Daphnia pulex: one gene and its partner. The protein of the gene in region 1 interacts with the protein of each later gene in a pairwise test. Links are inferred from orthologs where the notes say so. Each region holds a gene or a part of one and is shown on either strand. Other genes may lie near its edges.

What was found. The genes of interacting proteins can lie anywhere in the genome.
Region 2: the proteins of collagen alpha-2(IV) chain-like (region 1) and bone morphogenetic protein 2-like interact in binary tests that used the Drosophila melanogaster proteins (3 or more experiments, as listed by UniProt). The link is inferred for Daphnia pulex from reciprocal best matches to the Drosophila melanogaster genes Col4a1 and dpp.

What each region holds. Positions count from the first base shown.
Region 1 is NC_060017.1:3,258,463-3,263,112, reverse strand, and holds part of collagen alpha-2(IV) chain-like, read right to left. Parts: intron 4,617-4,650; exon of another isoform or gene 4,390-4,616; intron 4,022-4,389; coding exon 3,779-4,021; intron 3,714-3,778; coding exon 3,489-3,713; intron 3,394-3,488; coding exon 3,205-3,393; intron 3,133-3,204; coding exon 3,016-3,132; intron 2,931-3,015; coding exon 2,766-2,930; intron 2,706-2,765; coding exon 2,498-2,705; intron 2,430-2,497; coding exon 2,335-2,429; intron 2,244-2,334; coding exon 1,863-2,243; intron 1,764-1,862; coding exon 1,388-1,763; intron 1,314-1,387; coding exon 1,192-1,313; intron 1,116-1,191; coding exon 953-1,115; intron 890-952; coding exon 650-889; intron 586-649; coding exon 550-585; intron 477-549; coding exon 351-476; intron 247-350; coding exon 32-246; intron 1-31. UniProt on the Drosophila melanogaster protein: Collagen type IV is specific for basement membranes.
Region 2 is NC_060019.1:10,274,888-10,279,973, reverse strand, and holds the start of bone morphogenetic protein 2-like, read left to right. Parts: upstream 1-1,773; 5' UTR 1,774-2,113; intron 2,114-2,716; 5' UTR 2,717-3,275; intron 3,276-5,086. UniProt on the Drosophila melanogaster protein: Required during oogenesis for eggshell patterning and dorsal/ventral patterning of the embryo.

The DNA.
Region 1 (4,650 bases):
TTCTCAAATGATCAATTTATGATTAACCTACAGAAAGACCTGCAGGTCCAACGTCTCCCTTTTCGCCTCCAATTCCGGGGTTACCGGGAAGTCCATCTAGACCGGGATTACCACGGTCACCTTTCATACCCATGTCGCCCTTGCGTCCGTCAAGACCAGGAAGACCAGCGTCACCCGGTAGACCCGAAAGACCGGATGGTCCTCGATCACCTTTGGCACCAGGAGTTCCCGGCAGGCCGTTCAAACCTAATCGTCAGTAAAAAAAACAGCAAAATGTGATTGAGATTTGTTGCATTAATAAGCAGGTCAAATTACAATCTTGATATAAACGTGGTGTAACATTATTTTACCTGGTTGTCCAGGAAGTCCAGGTAAGCCTTGTGCACCAACGCCACCTTCAATTCCAAGATCTCCTTTGAATCCTGGGAATCCCGGTAAACCTGGTCGTCCGGCTTCTCCTTGAAGGCCTGGTTCGCCTGCGAGATATATTCATGGTTATTTGCAGATGAGTCAACTAAAAGATAACTATATCTGGTAAACTATTTGTACCTTTGCCGCCATCCCGACCAGGTGGTCCAGCAAATCCTGCATTGATAATAATAACAATAATAATACTAATCATCATCTAATATATTGTTATTTGTATAACCAGGTGGCCCAGCCGGTCCAGGTGGTCCTGAATCTCCCTTGTCTCCTCTGGGTCCAGGAAGGCCATCCAATCCTGCCACTCCACGGTCACCCTTTTCTCCGGGGAAACCGCCAGGGCCAGAAGGTCCTTGAGCTCCGGGCTTGCCTGGTAGTCCAGGTAATCCTTTCTCTCCTTGTTCGCCGATCAAGCCTGGCTGTCCGGGTCTTCCTATTCCAGGGATTCCAGATTCACCCTTTCCGCCTGCACATGGAAGATTGATTTAGAATTTGAGATAACATGCTAAAATGAAGTACAAAACTGAACCTTTCATGCCAGGTAAGCCTGAATTTCCGGGATTGCCGGGAGGTCCATCTTCACCGGGGAATCCCATGGGGCCTAAAGCGCCTTTGTCACCACGTTGACCTGGTGGTCCGCGCGGACCTGGAAGTCCTGTAGGACCGATGTCACCTTTTTCTCCCATCGATCCCTGAATTGTTGCACATTAAAAAAAGGTCAATTCTCAATAAAAAAAGTGAAAAATTAAATGTCTTTTTCCAACTGACCCTGAGACCCTCCAGTCCTGGTTCACCCTTCATACCCCCTTCACCTTTCAAGCCCATATCGCCCTTTTCTCCTTTTTGTCCTTGCAATCCTTTGAGAAGTACAAGATCGTCGAGACATTGGGCTGTAAAGAGAAATTATGTGAATTATAAAAAACACAATTAAAATCGTTGGTATACAAAAATACAATTTTCGTACCTTGTTCTCCTTTTGCGCCTTTCTGGCCTTCAAAACCAGAATCACCTTTGGCACCGTTTTGTCCATCACGTCCAGGCTCACCCTTAATGGATGCGCCCTTTTCGCCGGGTATACCAGAAAGACCTGGTGTGCCTGGAGTACCGTCTAATCCAGGGAAACCAATTTGGCCCTTGTCGCCTTTCATTCCAGGGAAACCAGAGAGACCAGGTTGTCCAGGAGGTCCACGTAAACCAGGAGGACCCAGTGGACCGGGTCGGCCGTATTCACCTCGATCTCCTTTGTCACCTGGTGGTCCTCGTGCCAGAATATCCGGAATAATAGTGACTTCTCCCTTTTGACCTTTGGGTCCTGGCTGTCCAGGCTCACCAGACCGACCCTAAGGTATTAAGTAATTATTAACAATGAAAATAGTCATGATATGGCAACGTAAAGATAGTTAGACCGAACAAAACATGCGAAAATTCATTATGCTAACCTCGAGACCAGGTAAACCAGGTGGACCGAGAAGACCATCGTCACCCGGCTGTCCGGGATACCCACGTTCGCCAGGGGCACCACGTTGACCAGGTGGACCATTGACACCGTTCAATCCCCGGTCTCCTCTGTCACCTTTAATGCCTGGGCTACAGGCAAAGCAGACTCCAGCGTCACCCTTCTCCCCATTGAACCCTGGTAGGCCAGGAGTTCCAGGAATGCCGTCACGACCCTTGTCTCCTTTGATTCCGGGGTATCCTGGTGTACCAGGAATACCGTCAATAGCATCTCCAGGAGGTCCGCGAATTCCCTGATAACCGCGTTCACCCTTCAAACCAGGCAAACCGTCACGTCCTGGAAGTCCGTCCAGTCCTTTCGGGCCCTATCACAAATTATGGGAAAAATGGTTTCGAAAATTCAACAATCGCAAATTCAAACTCAATCAGTAAATGTCGCATTTTTCAATAACTTACCACGATCGAAATTCCTTTTTCACCAGGAGGACCCATCAGGCCAGGAAGACCGGGAGATCCGGGTGGACCCTGAAGTCCAGGCTCACCCGGATAGCCTTAAAATAATTCAGGAATGCAATGAAGGTGTTTTTATGTTTACAATACTGCAGAGATTCAAAATTACCCGCTAGTCCACCGTCTCCTTTGTCACCCTTGTCACCAGCGGGTCCTTCAGCTCCAGGTAATCCAGGACTGCCAGCACCACCAGGAGGACCTTGACTTCCTCTGGGACCAGGATCGCCGGGAAGACCGTCAATACCGTTACCACCAGGAGGGCCTGGGAATCCACGCGGTCCGGCAGGGCCTGGGGGTCCAGGAACACCTTTGCCTCCCTTCACAAAATATTAAGATATTGAATTTTCAAATTAATTATGGTGACGGCTAAGACTTACTCCTGGGGCTCCAGGTGGTCCTCTCAAACCGGGCAGACCAGGAATTCCAGATAATCCGCCGTCACCTTTAGGGCCGGGTCGACCGGGAAGTCCATCCAAACCGTCGTTACCCCTGTCACCTTTCTGTCCGGTTGGTCCTGGAGGTCCGGGGAATCCGTCTTTACCCTGTATGACGAAACAACACAGTTAGAATGTGCTTTTTGTGATCGCATACTGAATGTGAATGAAAAAAAAGGTTTAAAAAACTTACTCGAGGGCCAGCCGGTCCAGGTAATCCTTTTTCACCCTTCATTCCTAGATCTCCTTTTGAGCCAGCATCACCGATAAAGCCGGGTTGACCTTCGGGCCCAAAGTCACCCTTATCACCCTATTGAATAAAAAAATTGAATTAAACTAAGCTGCTAAAAAGATTGAGCTTGAATTGACTTGTTAGGTTTACCTTCATGCCGAGCATACCCTTCTCTCCTTTCGGTCCTATGTATGTTACGTTGCCCTTTCCTTCAAATTCATTACCCCCTAAACAAGAATCGCCTTTGGGTCCAGCTTCACCCTTGTCGCCTCTGCCACTCTCACGACAGATTCCTGGCAGACCTTTGTCTCCTTGCAATCCTTCTTTACCCGCCAATCCCTGATTTTGTACAAAAAAATAACATAAAAAAAACAGTAAAATATTTAACAAAATCATTCGAGATTAGGATGTTGGCGGGGGAAGGTGTATCTTACCGGTAAACCACGTTCGCCTTTGTTGCCTTTGCCACCCGTCAAACCAGCCGGGCCAGGGAATCCAGCGGGTCCGCGAACACCATCCAGTCCAGGTTCACCTTTTTGTCCTTTGCTACCGGGAAATGGAGCTTGAGCCGGCTCACCTTTCTCTCCCTTTCCACCAGGCAGACCGGGCAAGCCACGAGGTCCAGGATCGCCAACCATTCCCATTCCTCCAGGAGCTCCCTTTTCAAATTCCACCGTAAAAAGATGTCAGAAAATGCATAAAATACGAATTAAAAAATACTTACATCAGTTCCGTTGCAACCGTCCATGCCGTTCATGCCGGGTGGCCCTGGTGGACCTTGGATACCAGGAATCCCGTTGATACCAGGGAAACCCGGCATACCCATTTTACCACGGTCGCCTTTCGGCCCTCGAGGTCCTTGTGGTCCAGGTTCACCTTTATCACCTTTGGGTCCTTCCAAACCCTCCATACCTTGGAATCCGGGTAATCCAGTAGGGCCAGGATTACCGGGTACTCCTGGCGGTCCCTAAATGTTGAAAAGAATGCGTGATTGGAATCCAGCAAGGATTATTTGTGGCTGTCAAATAAAACGTGAAACAAACATTCTTGCCTTTTGTATATCTTAAAATCTAAGGCTAGATTAAAGGCTTTGCTGGTATTAGTAACAAGAAACAAGAGCAGATAAGAGCAGTTCCACGCTTTAGCCATTTACTGGTAAGCCTATATACCGCTATGCGTAATTAAACCGTTTTTTTTTGTTTTTGGCGGTTCGGAATTTGCAATTTGAATGGGGGGATCGATTTTTAATAAATTCTAATCGATATCTTAAGTATTGCTAATTAAAAGATTATCGTCGTCTGCAAATTTTTTTTTTTTCGTTTTCGTTTACAAGTTTCGAAAAAGAAGGAGAGAGGAGACAAATAAAAAGATTTCAAATAAAAACGAAACGATCACTTTTTGGGACGTTGATGCACGAAATAAAATCACAAAAATGTAGTCATCGTCATGTCAACTTTATTGTCGCAGCATGCTCTCCACTCCATGCTGTTTGTCAGGTAAAGACTAGGAATAAAAATGAGATGACTATGGGAGCTTAAATTGAAGAGTTAAACTTGTTCAAAGTTTGTGAATTGCTACTTCATGCTATCATTATTT
Region 2 (5,086 bases), on another chromosome or scaffold:
TTTTCTCTTTCCGAAACTATTTACCATACGATATCTCATCGCATTTTGTCGGCATGTTTTCTTCCAAGGCAATAGAGATCCGACACACCTTCTCTCTGAGGCGCTTACCTAATAACTGCGCATATATTAATAAAAAAAAAATATATATTGTTTATTTTTCCCAATCGGAATCGTTTAAATGTTCCGCTTCGTCTTCTTGTTGCTGGCCAAAGAAGAAAATAACCAAACCTTTTTTTCTGGTTTTTTCCTGAAAAAATAAAAATTAAAGGGAATATTAAGTTCGTACATAAAATTCGGATCCGCCCAGTTGAATCTTTTTTTTCTTGTCTAAATTCTTCTTTTGGTAGAGATAACATTTTCGTTTCTTCGTTTTTGTTCGACCAGTACTAGAGAGGTAGATCCTCCCCTATTTTAACTCTATATGTAATTTATATCTATGTGTGTGTGTATTGAGAGGATGGGGGGGGGGGAAAAGAGCGGTCGAAAAAAACATTTCTGCCGGGTTTTTCTTTTTCTTTTCCGTCTTAATTACAGAGCAAAGTGCGCGGGTTATGGCGGAGGATGACTCCTTCTTCCAACCCACTCGCCAACCGAACTCGTATACAGAAGGGGGAGGAAAAGCCGCAATAGAGAGAGAATAAGCTGCACACCTGTGGACGAAAAAACAAAAATCCAATAGCCTCCAAATAGAAATTTTCTCGGTTGTTGTTGTTGTTGTTACGCTTCTAATACCATAGGGCTATGTAGAAGCGCGCGGGATTGGACGCACAAGGCTATGCAATCACGAACGCCGACGTGATTACAAAGATTGAGGCAAAAGAAAATTGAGAGGAGGACACACACAGAATAAAACGAATCTGAAAAAATCAAGGCAACCCACTTTTTCTTAACAGACGAAAACACACAACAACAACAAACACGAGTTGTGTGTAAGCCAATATTGATTACACGTGTACACACTGCGCCGCTGGTCGCAAATCATTCGATAAACAAGGGTGAGCTTGTACAGTTGAGCAATTTGATATGCCCTTTGATCATTGGTCGGTGTCTTATACATTTTTCAAAAGCTCATCATTTTGAATTTCCCGCTTCAATTTTAATTTCCGGGTTTCAAATTCACGCTGAAAACAAAAAATATACCTTTGAAATAAAAAATTGTGTTGGACATTGAAATTTGGCATGGCGCTGACAAGTATAGTGACCTTTTTCGAGTTGTCATTTTCTTTATTAGATTTCTCCTTGTATGGAAGGGGAGCCTTATATTTATTATATGGCCTCCTCTTCTTTCTTTTGCTCCTTCAGATTCATCCTGCGGAAACCTTGGACGACTTTTGTTCTCCTTCGGCTCCTTGTCATCTCTCATCTCTCTATTCCACCATGTGTATATATAACCGTTGGGGCTCCTGTCGCCACCCGACCCCAGTCACAAAAAAAGAGAGGGTCTGTTTTTACCTTTTAATTGCCCCATTCTCTTTCCCGGTATACGTTGTCGTTCGTCTCCAAAAATAAGAATCGATAGTCACTGGACGATACTTTTTTCCGATATGCCCAGGGAATGTTCGAGGGGTAAAAAACTAAAAAGAGAAGAAGCTTAAAAGCCACTCTAAATAGATGTATGTTTTTTAAAAAGAAAAAAAAAAAAAAAACCTTTTTTGGGGGTTTTTCTTGATGGGGTGACCATCTTGTTTTACCTTTTTCCCCCTCCTCCAAAGTGCTGCTGGCAATGTTGTCCCTGTGTGTGTGTTTAGATCGCCCTCTACCTTCGTGTACACAGAGAGAAAGAAAATGGTATTTAGTTTGGAAGAAAAGATATAGCCGATAGATATATATATATATATACAAACATTGGGATGCATTTCCAGGGGATTTTTATTTTTCGTCTGCTGGCTGCCCAGTGGAAGCGTCTCTTTCTACTCCTGGGCTCTCAGTCCTTCGTGTGATGTGACCAGTGCGGTTGGTCGGTGGCATTTTTCCCCCCTCAATTTTTCCTTGTTTGTTTCTTTTGATCGAATTTCTGTTTCGCCTCATCAAACGGAATTTCTTCTTCTCGGTGCCAAGAACCAAAACACCAACAAAGTTGTGCACCTGTGCATCCGCCATTTCCAGCAAAAAGGTGTTAGACTCATTAGATCCCCCCCACCCTACCTCACACAACACCTGTGTTTTCTTCATGTGCAACTTTTCCCGTCTGTTACTTTTTTGACACCTTTCCAGTCCCAGGTGGAATGGACCCCCACTTCAATTAAAACAAACAATAGACTGTGCAATAAGATTGATCAACATTTTGTAATTTCATTAAAAACTATCGAAAATCAATTTTTCTTTTTTGGGGGGAATGAAATTTCAGACATTTTGAGACGACAAAAGAGATGACCCTCCCTCCTGAAAAACCCAACCCAAAAACCTTCCAAGTTCCAAACGGAATAAAAACTTTTCCCCCTCCATTTTTCTGCCCTTCCCCCCCCCTCTCTTTTTCAATCCACCCCCTACTTCTTCTTCTTCTTCTTTTTGTCTTAAGTTTTCCACCTGGTTTTTCTTCTTCTTCTTCTTTTGTTTTTACCTTCCGAAACAAAAAAAGGAATATAAAAATAAAAAGTAGACGAAGGTTAAAAAAGAATATCGACCTTCTTCTTTTTATTTTTCCACCCAATCGTTTCCTCCTTTTTATTTTATTTTTAAATCGATATTTAATTCTGTTTCTTTTTTCTCCCTCCAGGGATTCCCGGTTGGACAATCCATTCCACGTGCGTCTCCCAGCCCGAGAGTGTGTGTGTTCGTGATTTATTTTGTTTTTAAAAAATCGTCGGTTATAAAATGCCCGCCAATTTCGTCGCCATTTTGAAACCCTGTTAGTTATTGGCTATTGCGTTCAGTGTTACGCCATCGTCAGTTGTGTGTCGTGAGTGAAGAAGTGAAAGTTGCGTCCAGTTGAATATATATATATAACACACGCCACGTTTGGACAACGGCGGCCGTTTTCCAATCCATCAGTTTGATCCATCGTGCTGTTGATAGTGCCAGGTGTGTTGTTGTGCCCATCATTGCGTTTTGGTGTCGTGTGTGTGTGTGTGTGCTATGAAGATCGGGCACTGCGTGATTGCCAGTCAGGGAGGATCGCCACCACCGCTGTGCTAAACTGCTAAAAGGCCAGGATGACACGGATCTCCCGCGGTTGTATCAGCAACGCACTCGCCCACTGCCAACTTCATCCTCCTCTCCCGCCCGTCCATCCATCGACTGGACACATCCAATCGTCATCGACTCAACAGTTCCAGGTTTTTAACAAAAATTTTTTCGTCTATTTTTTCAAAATTCCCGCAAAAATTTTGTAGAAAAATTTGAACTCGGTGGAATTTCACTGGATAATTTTTCAAACATATTTACTAAAAATCGATTTTTCGGGGAAGATTTATTTTTTTAAATTTTAACTTTTTTTTTACTGGAGGGTAAAACTTTTAAATTGGAAAAACAAAAAGAAAGATAAAAACCTTTTTCCACCCTCCAAATGAGGAAACCCAAGAAAGTTAAGGGGGAAGGGGATGCTGAGTGCTTTTCTTTTTTCCTGGAAGAAGAAGAAGAAGAAGATGGAAAAAAGGGACCAGAATGAGAAATACAAAACGGGGACAATAATAATAAAAGCACAAATACCCCCAGTCGATATGTGATGGAAACCGGTGGCCACGATTACGCTAATTAATCAAAATATTTTTAAAAATCCAAAATTTTTTAAAATCCCCGGCGTATCGAATAATAATTCCTGTCCCGTTTTCTTTTTTCGATCTGGGGAATTTGGAAATCTGAAAAAAGAACTTTTCAAGTTCTCGTGCCAACGTCGTTCATCTTGTGTTTAGATCTCGCGGGTGTTTTTAAAAAAAGAGAAAAAAAAAAACACGTAAGAGAGGAGAGAAAGGCAAACAAAAAACGAATGCGAGGGACCAGAAAAGGGACACAATCAAACTGCATCTAATAAATATTTGTCTCTACATATATATTCCAACGAATAATATGTGACCGGCGACATTGAGGCCAACAGCGAGAAAGAAAAAAAAAGAGATTTTTAACTTTTTTATTCGCTGTGGAACTTATCTCTTCTTATAAGATTGTAGCCGTTTTGTATGCGCACACACCTGGGTTACGACATATAAACAACTTCAATAACTTGCGAGCAGAGATAGGAGAGAATAAGGTTCTGGTGCCAACTTGTTGCTGGCCCCCAGAGTGGCCATTTTGTTGTCTGTAATGAACCGGCCGACAGGTGGAAAACAAATTCCTATCCAACTAGTCAGCGAAATTTTTATTCGGGAGGACGATCGTTCACACACAGGACGCATTCCATCTCCAGCTTTGCTGCTGGCCCCCTTTTTCTCTCTCTTATTCAAACAGTGACGCATCATCTTGCCCAGTTGCCGGGCAACTTGAGAGCTAGGTGTTTTCTCGTCCAACTGATTTGAAAGTTTTTTTTGAAATTTCCCCCCCCCACCGCTCCCATTTTGCGCAATTGTTTTATTTTCCATCCATGACCTATACAACGACGGATAGACGACGTCCAGCTTTGTGGATAATATGCAAAAATGTGGTGTTGGAATGGTGTTGATGGGCCAAGCCCCTCTTTTATCCATTCGCACCTTTTGACTGGAAATGCGCACCACCTGCTGTTAACTACTGGCCAGGGATTCCTGGAAAGAAGAAGAAGAAGAAAAACACCAACGCTTATCTAATTGGCGAGATCACAAATGGGAAGAATTCCAATGTTTATCCCCAAAAGAAAAAGAAGAAGAAGAAGAGAGAGCTCAACACCTGTGTACACACACAATCTCTCAACAGCTTGACATCATTTGCATATAATAGTCCTCCTCTACCGACGATGATTACATTAAATTATTATTACATCAAATAACTCCTCAAGAGATTTCAACATTTTTTTTTTCGGGTGGTTGCATCATCATCCGTATGTAGCGCCCGAGGGGGGACCTTCAACTCGCTTGTTGTTGTTGATAATTAACTGATTGCCGTTACGAAACGTCTTTTTGTTTGGTTTTAATCGCGAATATCAAATGAAAAATTAAATAAGGAATGTGGAAAAGAA